3 linked regions of the Rattus norvegicus genome follow. The protein of the gene in region 3 interacts with the protein of the main gene of each other region in a biochemical or structural test. Links are inferred from orthologs where the notes say so. Each region holds a gene or a part of one and is shown on either strand. Other genes may lie near its edges. The genes, in order: Pcna, Ube2a and Rad18.

Evidence for each region.
Region 1: of the proteins of Rad18 (region 3) and Pcna, one has a biochemical effect on the other in vitro, tested with the Homo sapiens proteins (21 studies listed by BioGRID, with this or other methods). The link is inferred for Rattus norvegicus from reciprocal best matches to the Homo sapiens genes RAD18 and PCNA.
Region 2: the proteins of Rad18 (region 3) and Ube2a form a complex in vitro, tested with the Homo sapiens proteins (12 studies listed by BioGRID, with this or other methods). The link is inferred for Rattus norvegicus from reciprocal best matches to the Homo sapiens genes RAD18 and UBE2A.

The regions. Positions count from the first base shown.
Region 1 is NC_086021.1:139,953,259-139,957,006, forward strand, and holds the start of Pcna (proliferating cell nuclear antigen), read right to left. Parts: upstream 2,563-3,748; 5' UTR 2,501-2,562; coding exon 2,280-2,500; intron 1,474-2,279; coding exon 1,376-1,473; intron 1,231-1,375; coding exon 1,163-1,230; intron 930-1,162; coding exon 735-929; intron 1-734. UniProt on the Homo sapiens protein: Auxiliary protein of DNA polymerase delta and epsilon, is involved in the control of eukaryotic DNA replication by increasing the polymerase's processibility during elongation of the leading strand.
Region 2 is NC_086039.1:120,979,159-120,982,906, reverse strand, and holds the start of Ube2a (ubiquitin-conjugating enzyme E2 A), read right to left. Parts: upstream 2,824-3,748; 5' UTR 2,686-2,823; coding exon 2,642-2,685; intron 2,492-2,641; coding exon 2,411-2,491; intron 2,030-2,410; coding exon 2,004-2,029; intron 1-2,003. UniProt on the Homo sapiens protein: E2 ubiquitin-conjugating enzyme that accepts ubiquitin from the ubiquitin-activating enzyme E1 and transfers it to a E3 ubiquitin-protein ligase. In vitro catalyzes 'Lys-11', as well as 'Lys-48'-linked polyubiquitination.
Region 3 is NC_086022.1:147,359,801-147,363,448, forward strand, and holds part of Rad18 (E3 ubiquitin-protein ligase RAD18), read right to left. Parts: intron 2,250-3,648; coding exon 1,912-2,249; intron 451-1,911; coding exon 351-450; intron 1-350. UniProt on the Homo sapiens protein: E3 ubiquitin-protein ligase involved in postreplication repair of UV-damaged DNA. Postreplication repair functions in gap-filling of a daughter strand on replication of damaged DNA.

The sequences.
Region 1 (3,748 bases), on a different chromosome or scaffold from region 3:
ACCATGAAATATACATCTGATTCCTGAGAAAGCCTTGAGTCAGGGCTACTTAGGAATTAAGAGAACTAGTGTGTTCTGCTTGAATGAGGGCTTGCCAAGCATCTTCCCCTGCCATCCCAATTTCTTCCCCATTTTTTGAGATCCATTTTCTGCAAGGTAGACTTTAAACTGAGAATCATCCTGTTGTTGCTTTGAGTGTCACAGTTATGGGTTTGAGCCACCATGTCCAGCTTCCTCTAGGCACATAAAATGTCAGAGTATTCAATGCAACTCTTTCCGAGTTGCATGAAGTCTTATTTCCTTTGGTACTGTGGATATTCTTATTATTGTATTGAGTCCTGTTGCCTGTAGCTAGGCCTAAATTACAACCTAACTTTGCTCAGTCTGCTTTTGCACCATTAAATGAACTAGTAACTGAACCTACAACACATAAAAGCTATTAGAGGAGCTACATGATCCCAAGACTTTTACACCCCCAACCATTCCGTTCACTTGCTAATCCTCACTGATTTGTCAAGAGTATTTCCAGGAAGCAAAAGGTTGTACACTTAGCTTTCCAAATCCTGTCTGTAAAAGCTTATGTGGCATCATCTGAGTTCCAAGCCAGCTTGGTCTACTCAGAATGCCATCTCAAAATGAAAGAATGAATAAACAAACAGAAGTCAAGGCTTAATGGCTAAGCCGGCAATCCTGCTTCAGACACAGTTAGCTGGACGACACCTCTTGCTACTTACAGCTTCCTCTTCTTTATCAACATTGCTTGTCTGGGACAACTTAATGTTCCCATTGCCAAGCTCCCCACTCGCAGAAAACTTCACCCCGTCCTTTGCACAGGAGATCACCACAGCATCTCCAATATGGCTAAGGTCCCGGCATATACGTGCAAATTCACCAGATGGCATCTTTACTACGCAGCTGTACTCCTGTTCCTGTAAATGCAAGGTTAAAGGTCAGTCTAGAAAAGAGGAAGACTCAGCTTCATGTTCTCAAGTTTCAGCACCTTAACTAGAACTCAGAACACAAGACTTCTGATGTCTTTACAACTCAATCAAGTTTAGGCTGTTGTGGTCTGGTGAAATGGCAAACACCACAACTCCACTTTAGAACATGCATCAGCTGGTATCACAGCTTGGTAAAACACCATCAGAAACAAGATACTTACTGGGATTCCAAGTTGCTCAACGTCTAAGTCCATTAACTTCATCTCATAGTCTGAAACTTTCTCTTGATCTACCAAAAGAAATCCAAGTGTTACTGAAGCACATGTTCATATCTATGTTGTAAATTTACCACAACCCTGTTGTTTTTAATTGTGAGAAACAGAAACAGCACACTTTAATTTCTGTAGCAACTGAGTTTTAAGGGTGTAACTTACTTGGTGCTTCAAATACTAGTGCTAAGGTATCAGCATTATCTTCAGCCCTTAATGTAATGATGTCTTCATTACCAGCACATTTTAGAATTTTGGACATGCTAGAAAAAAAAAAGGACACAGGGCTTATCAACATCATGTCTCCACATTTACATTTTTAAATTTATATTTCACATTCATGATTGGAGAATTGTTAGGGAGGATAAGGGTACCCCGAACCCTCTCAGAGGTTAAGCAAATTATCGGGTATATGTGATCCTTAAAAATCGATTTAGTAAAATGCACTAAAAGCCAACATTCAAGAACGCATCCTTTTTAGTGGGGTGTCCTCGGTTTTCAGCGTACTGGAGAGTGTGCCCTATCGCGTCTGGCCTTTTCATAAATGTTTCAAAATGTATACAAGTGACACTAATCCATATATCTGTACCAAAATAAGTCACATATTGTCCTTGAAATGTATACAGGAGGCACTAACACAGGTAGTTGTAGCAAAGTTAAAAGCTAAAACTGAGATTTTCCTGCAAATCCATGACGCGCAGTGAGATTCTAGAAGTCAAGAAAAGGCCTATCGTCACTCTAAGACTCTAAGTCGACAGTCCTTTTTCACCAGAACTCGCTTATTAGGCGCTAAAATCGGCCAGAAAAAGCTGCAGGCACTTAATGAGCGCAGCTCGGAAGCACGCATTTTCCCGCTGACTACCGCTTTGTGGCTTTGGCGCGGGAAAAAAGTAGGCGCGACAGCCAGCGCGGGCTTTTCGGAACCGCGCGCTTTGGTGGGTGATGTCCCCGGCACCACAGGCCAATCAGAAAGCGCGGACGGCCATGCCAGCCAATGCGAGTGCAGGAACACAGCCCCGCCAAGAGCCGAAGCGGGAGGGATGGGGCCCAGCTCCCGCCACCCGCTCACCTGGTGAGGTTCACGCCCATGGCCAGGTTGCGATCGCAGCGGTATGTGTCGAAGCCTTCGGAGCGCAGAGTAAGCTGCACTAAGGAGACGTGAGACGAATCCATGCTCTGTAGGTTCACGCCGCCCGAACTGATGTCCCAGCAGGCCTCATTGATGAGGTCTTTGAGGGCCTCCAGCACCTTCTTCAGGATGGAGCCCTGGATCAGGCGTGCCTCAAACATGGTGGCGGAGTTGCGACGTCTAGATGAGAGTTACTGTAAGGGGAGCGAGGTCTTGCTGACAAGGTACCCCGACTCACGATGCAGAAGTAGCGTGAAGACCAGGAGGGACGATAACCAGTCACCTGCGCCCGCAACCGTCTAATGCCGCGGCTTCCTAGGCGCGCGCTCTTTCAGTGCGCGAGGTTGTGGCGTCACAGCGCTGACCCACCCACCTCTCCTCTAGAACCAATCGTATCCGTGGTTTGAGCAAGGCCCGCCCCGCCGCGTATACAGAGGCGGAGCTGTGCGGTAAGAGCGTGGGAGGCGAGGGGCATCACGGGGTTCGCGTAGGCTGTCGTCACCGCCGGTGTTGGAGGGAGCTTAGGCTGTGGTTTCCATGTTCCTTAGGAAGTTTCTGCGCCACGGAAATGAAAGCCACTTGCAGTGCGCGGCGGCCTGCCTTGAAGAGGGAGACTGTAGTTCCTTCAAACACAGTGGAGTGCGTTTCTTTTACTACTGCGTAAAAAATATGCCGCAAAATATTGAGTAATAAAGAGGCCATCTTATCTGAACACTCCCCAATTTCATAACACTTACCTGGGTGCTTCGCTCTGAACTTTCCTCCCTAAAGATTTAAAAAAAAAAATGCCTCTTAACGCGAACGCTTCTGCAAAGATATATAGTTCATGTGTACCACGTAATTAGTTTCCTGTATGGTTGGTTTCTTTTATATTTTTAAAGGTAGATATTAGTATTTTCATCTTAGTTTTAGGCTTAAGATGAACCCAAGCCTGAGCCCCATCTTGAAAATATTAGCTGTTGCAGGTGAAGCGTCTTTCATATGTCCCTGGGCTGCAGCATTTTGTTCTACTAAAACTTCTTTTTCCTATTGATTATGAGGATGGAGAAGAACTGAATGTAGGTAATGGGCATCATTTACAAAAGGATATAAATGATTTCTATTTCTAATGCTTTTTCTCTTGGTTTTGGTGGTAGATAAAATATATTTGATAGTGGAAGTGTAAAACTTCCAGCTTCCATTTGGAATGCCTCTTCTAACTGTAGACACAACTTTTGGTGTGTGATGTTTTATTTATTTGCATTTTTTTTTTTACTAATAAGACATATAAAATTTCAGAAAGTTAAAAGGATTGTTTTAGCTGGTAAGAGTGTTTTACAGCTAATTCCAGCACATGGGAAGGCTGAGGTGGGAGGGCCTAGATTTAAACTCAGCTTGGACTATCTACCAAGACTGACACGAAGGGGGAA
Region 2 (3,748 bases), on a different chromosome or scaffold from region 3:
GGAAGGTTGAGAAGCACTGAACTACATATAAAACTTATCTATAAAGACTTAGCGGGGCTGGGGATTTAGCTCAGTGGTAGAGCGCTTAACTAGGAAGCTCAAGGCCCTGGGTTCGGTCCCCAGCTCCGAAAAAAAAAGAACCAAAAAAAAAAAAAAAAAAAAGACTTGGCACAACCTTTGATTCTAGAATTTTCAAGACACAGGCAGATGGATCTCTTGAGTAGAGTGCCAGGATAGCCAAGGCTACACAAAGAAACCTTGTCTCAAAAAACAAAACTATATATATCTCGATATAGTAGAGAAAAGTTAAGTCTAATTAGCTCTTTCACTGACTAGCTCTTACATTAAATTCACCAAAGTTGTGTGCCCTAGAATCACTCAGTCCTCTGTCATTTCTTTTTATTGCGGCAGGTAACATTTACCTAACCAGTGAGATAGAGTAAAAGCTAACAGTATTCTAGTAACTATCAATGGTTTCCAAAGACTATCTTAAGTATTTGAGACAAATTCCAGACGAGGCTGATTTTGACTTACCTCACAGCGTTTGGTTACTAGCAGTAAGTAAAAGCAGTCTGAGTCAGCAACATATATAAGAAGTAGTTTTAGGGGGTTGGGGGATTTAGCTCAGTGGTAGAGCGCTTGCCTAGGAAGCGCAAGGCCCTGGGTTCGGTCCCCAGCTCCGAAAAAAAGAACCAAAAAAAAAAGTAGTTTTAGAAATGTTTCTGTTATCACCTTCAAACTGAAGGTGAATGTGTCTATGTATCTGTGCACATTCGTATGTTACTAAAATACCCCCAATTCCAGAGAATTTCATGAACTCAGAAAGTTCTAATCATCCTTTAAGTGAATTAAACCTTTAAAAGGTTCAACCCCCCCCCACACACACACACACAATTTGGTTTATGCATATAAAACTGTATCACTGACCATTTTGATTCTGCTATTGTAGTCATTCAAGACATTACCAAATAGGTAATGGGACTGGAGTAAGGCTTTACATAGACTTGTTATAGTACCTATTTCAACTGCACAGGAATCTGTAATTATGTCAAATTAGAAGGGGGCTTTTTCTTTGTTGCTTTATTTTTGAGACAAGGATTCACTATGTAACTCTGGCTGGCCTGAAATTACAGTAAGCCAGACTAGTCTCAAACTCATAGAGAGCTGCCTGCCTCTGCCTGCTCTGCCTTCCAAGCGCAAAACTTAATGGCATAAGACTCCACGGCAGCATTCAATATATCAAATTTTGAAGAGACCTTAACGTGTGTTTTTAAAAGTTAAGCCTAACTCGTTTGTTATGCACCTCTTGATACAAACTCAACATTCAAGTAGGCTGGACACTGGGTACTACTGTGAGACAAATCTCAATTCTGAAGTTGCTTTGAGATTACCAATTAGAAGATCTAAACGAAAGCACACACTGTAAATGAATTTAAAATCAAGGAACAACATTATACTGAAATTAAGTATGTAAGAACATCTTTAAAGAAGTGAGGCTGATGTGCCTTCTGAATCATATTGTTGAAGCCAGGGAATTGTATGTCAGGGAATCTTGCAAGCATTCATTCAGCCCTCAACAGAGCACACACTAAGTACTGCTGAACACACTTCTTGCCCTCGGGATGGAACGCATAGTGAACCAGATGGTCTCTGGTGGACCGGTTTTATATTGAATTATCTCCGTGGGGGCTAAAGTTAGCAGAAACACTGCTCGAACCTCCAAAATCCTGAATACCAGCACTGTGGCACTTCTTTTAAAAAGTGACTACTTTCACCCAGGATATATTAAACGGAGGGGGAAAAAAACCCAGAAAAGTGCAGTTTTAGTTAAGCATAGGACCATCCAGAACAACCTGCCACACACTGAATTTCACTTGAGCCTTTGGTGGGCAGAAGAGGCAGGGCAAAGCTGCTTCTTTAAGCTGGGGATGCTTGCTGATGCCAGGGACCCCCTTCTCCCTGGTGAGTAGGCTCCTGAAAGGTGGGCTAAGAAACTCTCTTACCATCCTCAAATGGGGTCCCTTCGGGCCTGCAACACAGGAAAACAAAAACAAGAACCGGTTAGTACCAGCCAAGGGGGTCCACACCTTCCCGCAGCCTCTGAAGAGGCGGCTCTGTCAAGGTCTCCCATCCCTGCCCTCCGTCCAGCACAGCTGTCCGGTGTTAGGGAAGCCACCCCTGTCCCCTCGGGGCTCTGGAGGCAGCGCAGGCCGCCACCGCTCCCCACCCCGCCCCCCTAGAACCCCAAACGGTTCCCCTGGCAGCGAGAACGGAGCTAATCGAGGCAGAGGCTCCGGGGAGGCGCCTAGGCCCAAACAACCCCAACTATCTTCCCCTTTCCCCCCGCGGCTCATCGAGGGGCCGGCCCCGGTCCCCTGAGTCCCCGGCGAGGGCCGGACCGCAGACTCACCCAAAAATGACCGCGTTCCAAACCATTATGTTGTTCTCCGACGGGGCTCCACTCACTCCAGCCGGAGGATCCTCTTGTAACCTTCAGAAACACACAGCGGCTCCCCTCAGCCCCGGGACTCGCGGCCGGCCCCCCTCACCACCACACCCGGAGCCGTTCCGTTTCGGGATCCGCCCTGTGCCCCGGGCAAGCAGCCCCCTCAAGCGCCTTTCCCTAACCGACGCCGGTTACCTCTTGAAGTCCCTCATGAGGCGGCGCCGGGCCGGGGTCGACATGGCTTTAGCAGGGTCAGAGGTAGGGCATATACCAGGGTCCGCGGTCCCTGAGGAAGCGGAGGAAGCCGAAGCCGAGGGAGCACCGAGAGGAACAGCACTACCTCTCCGAAGCCGAGGGTCGGTCTGGCGCCGGCTAAGCACCACCCCTGAGTAGACGGGGGCCGAACCAACCTGAGGAGAACGCGCGGGTGGGGTGGGGGGGAACGCCTTACGCCGGGCGGACTGTACCAAGTCGGCTACGGGGCGGGGGAGGACCAAAGTTGTTCTGTCAGTCACGCCCCGCCTGAGAGCCCCAATCCAGGACCGTGGGGCGGTGGCGGTCAAGTTCGAGGGGAAAGGCTAAGCGGGCAGCAAAGGCAGCCTTCAACTGTCGGGAATTTAAAAGGGAAACGCATGGGCTCCACTTGCGGATTTGAAGAGGAACCCCTGCGAAGTTTTCTTTTTATAGTTACTTACTTTCTTTGGGGGGGGGGGGGTCGTGGGGGAGGAAATCTTTCTCTTTCCTTTCTTTTTTTCCTCTTTTGAAACAAGGTATCCTGTAGGCCAGGGAAGCTCTAACTCACTGTGTGGTTGAGCATGACTTTAACTCCTGAGTCTCCTGCTTTCACCTCCCAAATGCTGGGATTACAAGAGTGCACCACCATACCAATCTTTTAATTACTTGTTGTTTTGTTGTTGGCTCCCTGCTTCTTCCACCTTCATTGATTGATTGATTGATTGATTGTACGGTTGGTCTCTTGTAGTATCTAATGTAATACAGGCTAACTCAAACTCACTGTGAATCCCAGAGGCTGGGCCTTGAGGTCACCTCAGCCTGCCAGGAATATGCCTTAACCTTTCTTTGGTTTTGACAAGGCATGATTTATTAAACTGCCAACTACGTCTAGGATCGGGGAAAGAGGAGCGGAGAGAAGATTAGTTGAAACAGGAGAGTGGGGGAAAGAGTTGGCACAGGCAAACAAGTTCTCAAAAGGCAAGGATGTTAGGGTCATGGTCCTGCAGACACGAGAGGCTGGGGTAACTACTCAGAATCATGGGGAAAGTAATAAATAAATAAATAAAT
Region 3 (3,648 bases):
ATATTCTTCAAATATAAGCTGTCCCTGCTCTCTTTGGCAAGGCCTCTCTCTGCATGACCATTTGAGAACTTTAAAAAGAAAGTTTAAAAGATAAATGAATTCTAAGTCTCTAGTTTCTCTAAGTCATAATGTAGCAGTGGGAAGCGCTAATCTGCTACTGACATATGGCAGAGGTGAGCTGAAGAAAGAAAAGGAGGATGGAGAGGAAACCAGCATTAAAGGAAAACTCACGCAGGAAGGAAAGCGGAGTGCAAGTCCCCAGGACAAAGGAGTCCTGCTTCTGACCCACACCTATCAAGCACAGAGGCATCATGCAAAGGCAGGCCAGAGGCTGGGCCCAGCTTTCTCACCTTCTAAGGCTCTCCTTTTTCTCTTCCCGTGATAAACAACTGTCTAAATGCTTATTGATGTGATTTTCTGGAATGCTGACCCCACAAACAGGACAAGACACTGCATTAAAAGAAAGGGAGAAACTTTATTAGCCACAGAAAGGGTAAAAATTAACAAACTGACATCTTTCAGAAAAAAGACAGACTCCCAGCTGATACACTCTTTAAAAAAGAGCAAGGAGGCAGGCAAACTGGTTCCTAGGAACTAGCTACTTTTTGGGAAGTCACATGATCAGAATCCTGGGCCTGGAGACTACAATTAGGTTTGGGAGTTAGCTGACTAGAAACAAGGTGCTAGGAAACCATAATGCTGGGGTTCCCCAGGCCCTAGGACCACCTTACACAGGAGAAGCAATCTCAGCAACTCTAATGAGGTCCCACCTATGCGCAACCAAGGCTTCGCTGGCTTCTTACGGTCTGGCTGAACTACTGACCGCCCTGCTCCCAGGCCAAGTGCATGCTATTAAAGCTGCAGCTTTGTGGAGTTGCACACCACCATGGATTAAAATGCAGTGGCCAAAGAAGGAAGGCTTGTGGCACCAGTCTCCAGACTCCCTACTTTTAATAGAACACAGAGAATTGTATCTATTTTACATGGGATGGTTCATTCTAAGATTTTATTTGGATAAAAAAGAAAAAAATTCTACAAGAATTGAAAACATATCCCTGTGAAATAAAAACACAACAAAAACTGCAGATGGAGCGATCTCCAGGCTGAGATGTTGATACGCATAATCAAAAATATAAAGTGATAAAATAAACCTTAAAAATATAAGTACTAATAAGCTAATTTCAATTTTCCAGTAAACACTACTGGCCTTCAACTGGGGGCTGTATGCGTTTGCTAAACACACACATTCTTTGTAAAAGGTAAGGTCACAGAGATTGGTTGTGGGTTTCCATTCTGGCTCTGTCACCATTAGGCCACTCTGTACCACTGCACCATGAAAACACCTGAGCTAATATATAAACAAAGGAGGAGTGCATGTACCAGGCAATCGGTATGTACTGAACAGGCAGCACATCTAGCCAGGCTTCAGTTATTCTGCCATTGTGAGTATACTGCAGAAGAGTGGGATATCAAGACATTCTGGGAGAGCCAGGAAATAAGATAGGTTCCCTGAAGTACTGTCATATGCCAAAGGGTCTTAAGCTATAAGCAGAACAGCAAGGACACGTTCAACCAGTGGTATAAAATGAAGGCCTCTTTAAGGGTTAACTGGAACTAGATGAGGTGATAGGATTCCAAGCTAAAAACAGAAAGCTACCACAAGTATACTGGGTTCTATCTGCTGATACAAGACTTACTCTACAACTATTAGGCAATAATCATTCTGATTGCTAATCTATAAACTAATAAAATAGGCCCCTATCCATGGCCTGCATCAATGCCTGAGACATGGTGAGGTGAAACCCCGTCTAGTCTTTCTTACTCTCCCTTAAAAGTGCTGCCTATTAATCTCATACCACATGAGTGAGGCTTCCTTAAGTATAAAAGGCAAATATAAAAACGACTTCCTACCTTTAGTATCCAGTTTCAGAGTGGATGTAGAGGGTGTCACAGGACCATTAGCATCCGAGAGACCAAGTGCCGTCTTTCCTAGGAGACTTGTCTCTTTAATATCAGCAGAGGTGCTTATCTCTTTTTGAGGGCTGAATTTCCTCTCATTTTCTTTTCCCAACAACTCGGATACACAATCACCAGTTTCTCTAATCAGGAACTTATCCATTAACCTGTTCCCCTGTTTGACAGGGTGTTGGGTGGCTTCAACATTATGTACCTTAACTACAACCTTCTTTGAGGTGGAAGACACAGGAGATATAGGTGGTGACTCTAAGGCAAACTGCAGCAGGCGAGTCCTTGAAACATACAAAACAAACAAACAACAGGTAAAGAAGATGCCAAGGTATATTAAACCACTAAGTCTTCCTAGTTAATACTTAGTTCCTCTGAAACACAGAACTTCTGTCACAATCACAACCAAACTAAAACCGTTTCTTTTAAAATGAGAAATAAAGCGATAAATCAGAACTAAAGGCGGTTACTAGGACTTTAGAGGATACTGGGTTCTAGCTGCTGACATGAGACTTACTCCTCAACAGCTAAGTAAAATCTGGAGAAAGACATGAAATAAGAGTTAGCACTACAACACAAGCCACACAAAAGTGTGGCCCCTGGGAGGAGAGACAAATGAGGTGACCAACACTGACCCAACATCTTCACCTGGAGGCACTTTCTCGGATTTGTAGTTGAACTGACATCTAAGCAGGAAAAGTCACCTCCCTGACCAGGGAGAAGAGAGCACAATTCGGGGCAAAGATGATGAGAACTAGAGAGCAATGTGCTAGGCATGTGGGAGGGAGCCTGGTAGGAAACACATTGGTGAACAGGTAACAGAGGCAGTGTTAGAAAGATGCTCTGCTTAGGCCAGCCAAAGTCGGATACCCTCATGGAGACCTCGGGACTGAGGCAAGATGTCAGAGGCCGAACCTTAGGAAAAGGGTTCACTCTGCAGAGTGTGTTCACACAAATGTGCACGCATGCGTGTGTTTACATCTATATGCATGTTATATATGTGTGTAAAACTAAAATAGAATCTAATAATACAATGCACCAACTCTTAACAGAACAAAAGCAAAGAACTGGTAATGTAACTGCTTGTCAGAACAAAACAAAACGCACTAACTTTCAAAGAGTATAGTTTTTCTTTCCTGCTGGTCTGGGTTTATCAAGGCACTGTTTCTTTCTTTCCCTCCTTCCTTTCTTCTCTCTTCTTTTTTTTTCTGTACAGGGTCTCACTAAAGCCCTGGCAGGCCTAGAACTATTTGATAAAATGCTACTTAAAAACAAAACAAAAATTCACAACTAGTATCAATCAACAGTGACAACAAATGAGACATCCCCCAGTCCCCATACTGAACAAGACACAGATAACTACCACAGCCATCTTTCCTAAAACTGCAGAAAATGTCCTGAGTCAATGGTAAGACCAAAAACAAGAGCCAGGAACAAAGAATACAAAGATTACATTCCATTTTCATAGGAAAAGTTAAATATAAGGTAAGTAAGAGGGTTGTCTCATTAAATATACTTTCATGTATATTTAAATTTTTCTACAACTAAAAAAAAGATAAAAAATAAAGAAAAACTAGGCTAAGGGTAGCAGCATAAGCCTATGATCTCAGCACTCAGCAGGCTCAAGACGAAGAAGACTCTAACTCAAGTCTAACGTTAGAGTGCTAGATCTGACGAAATCAA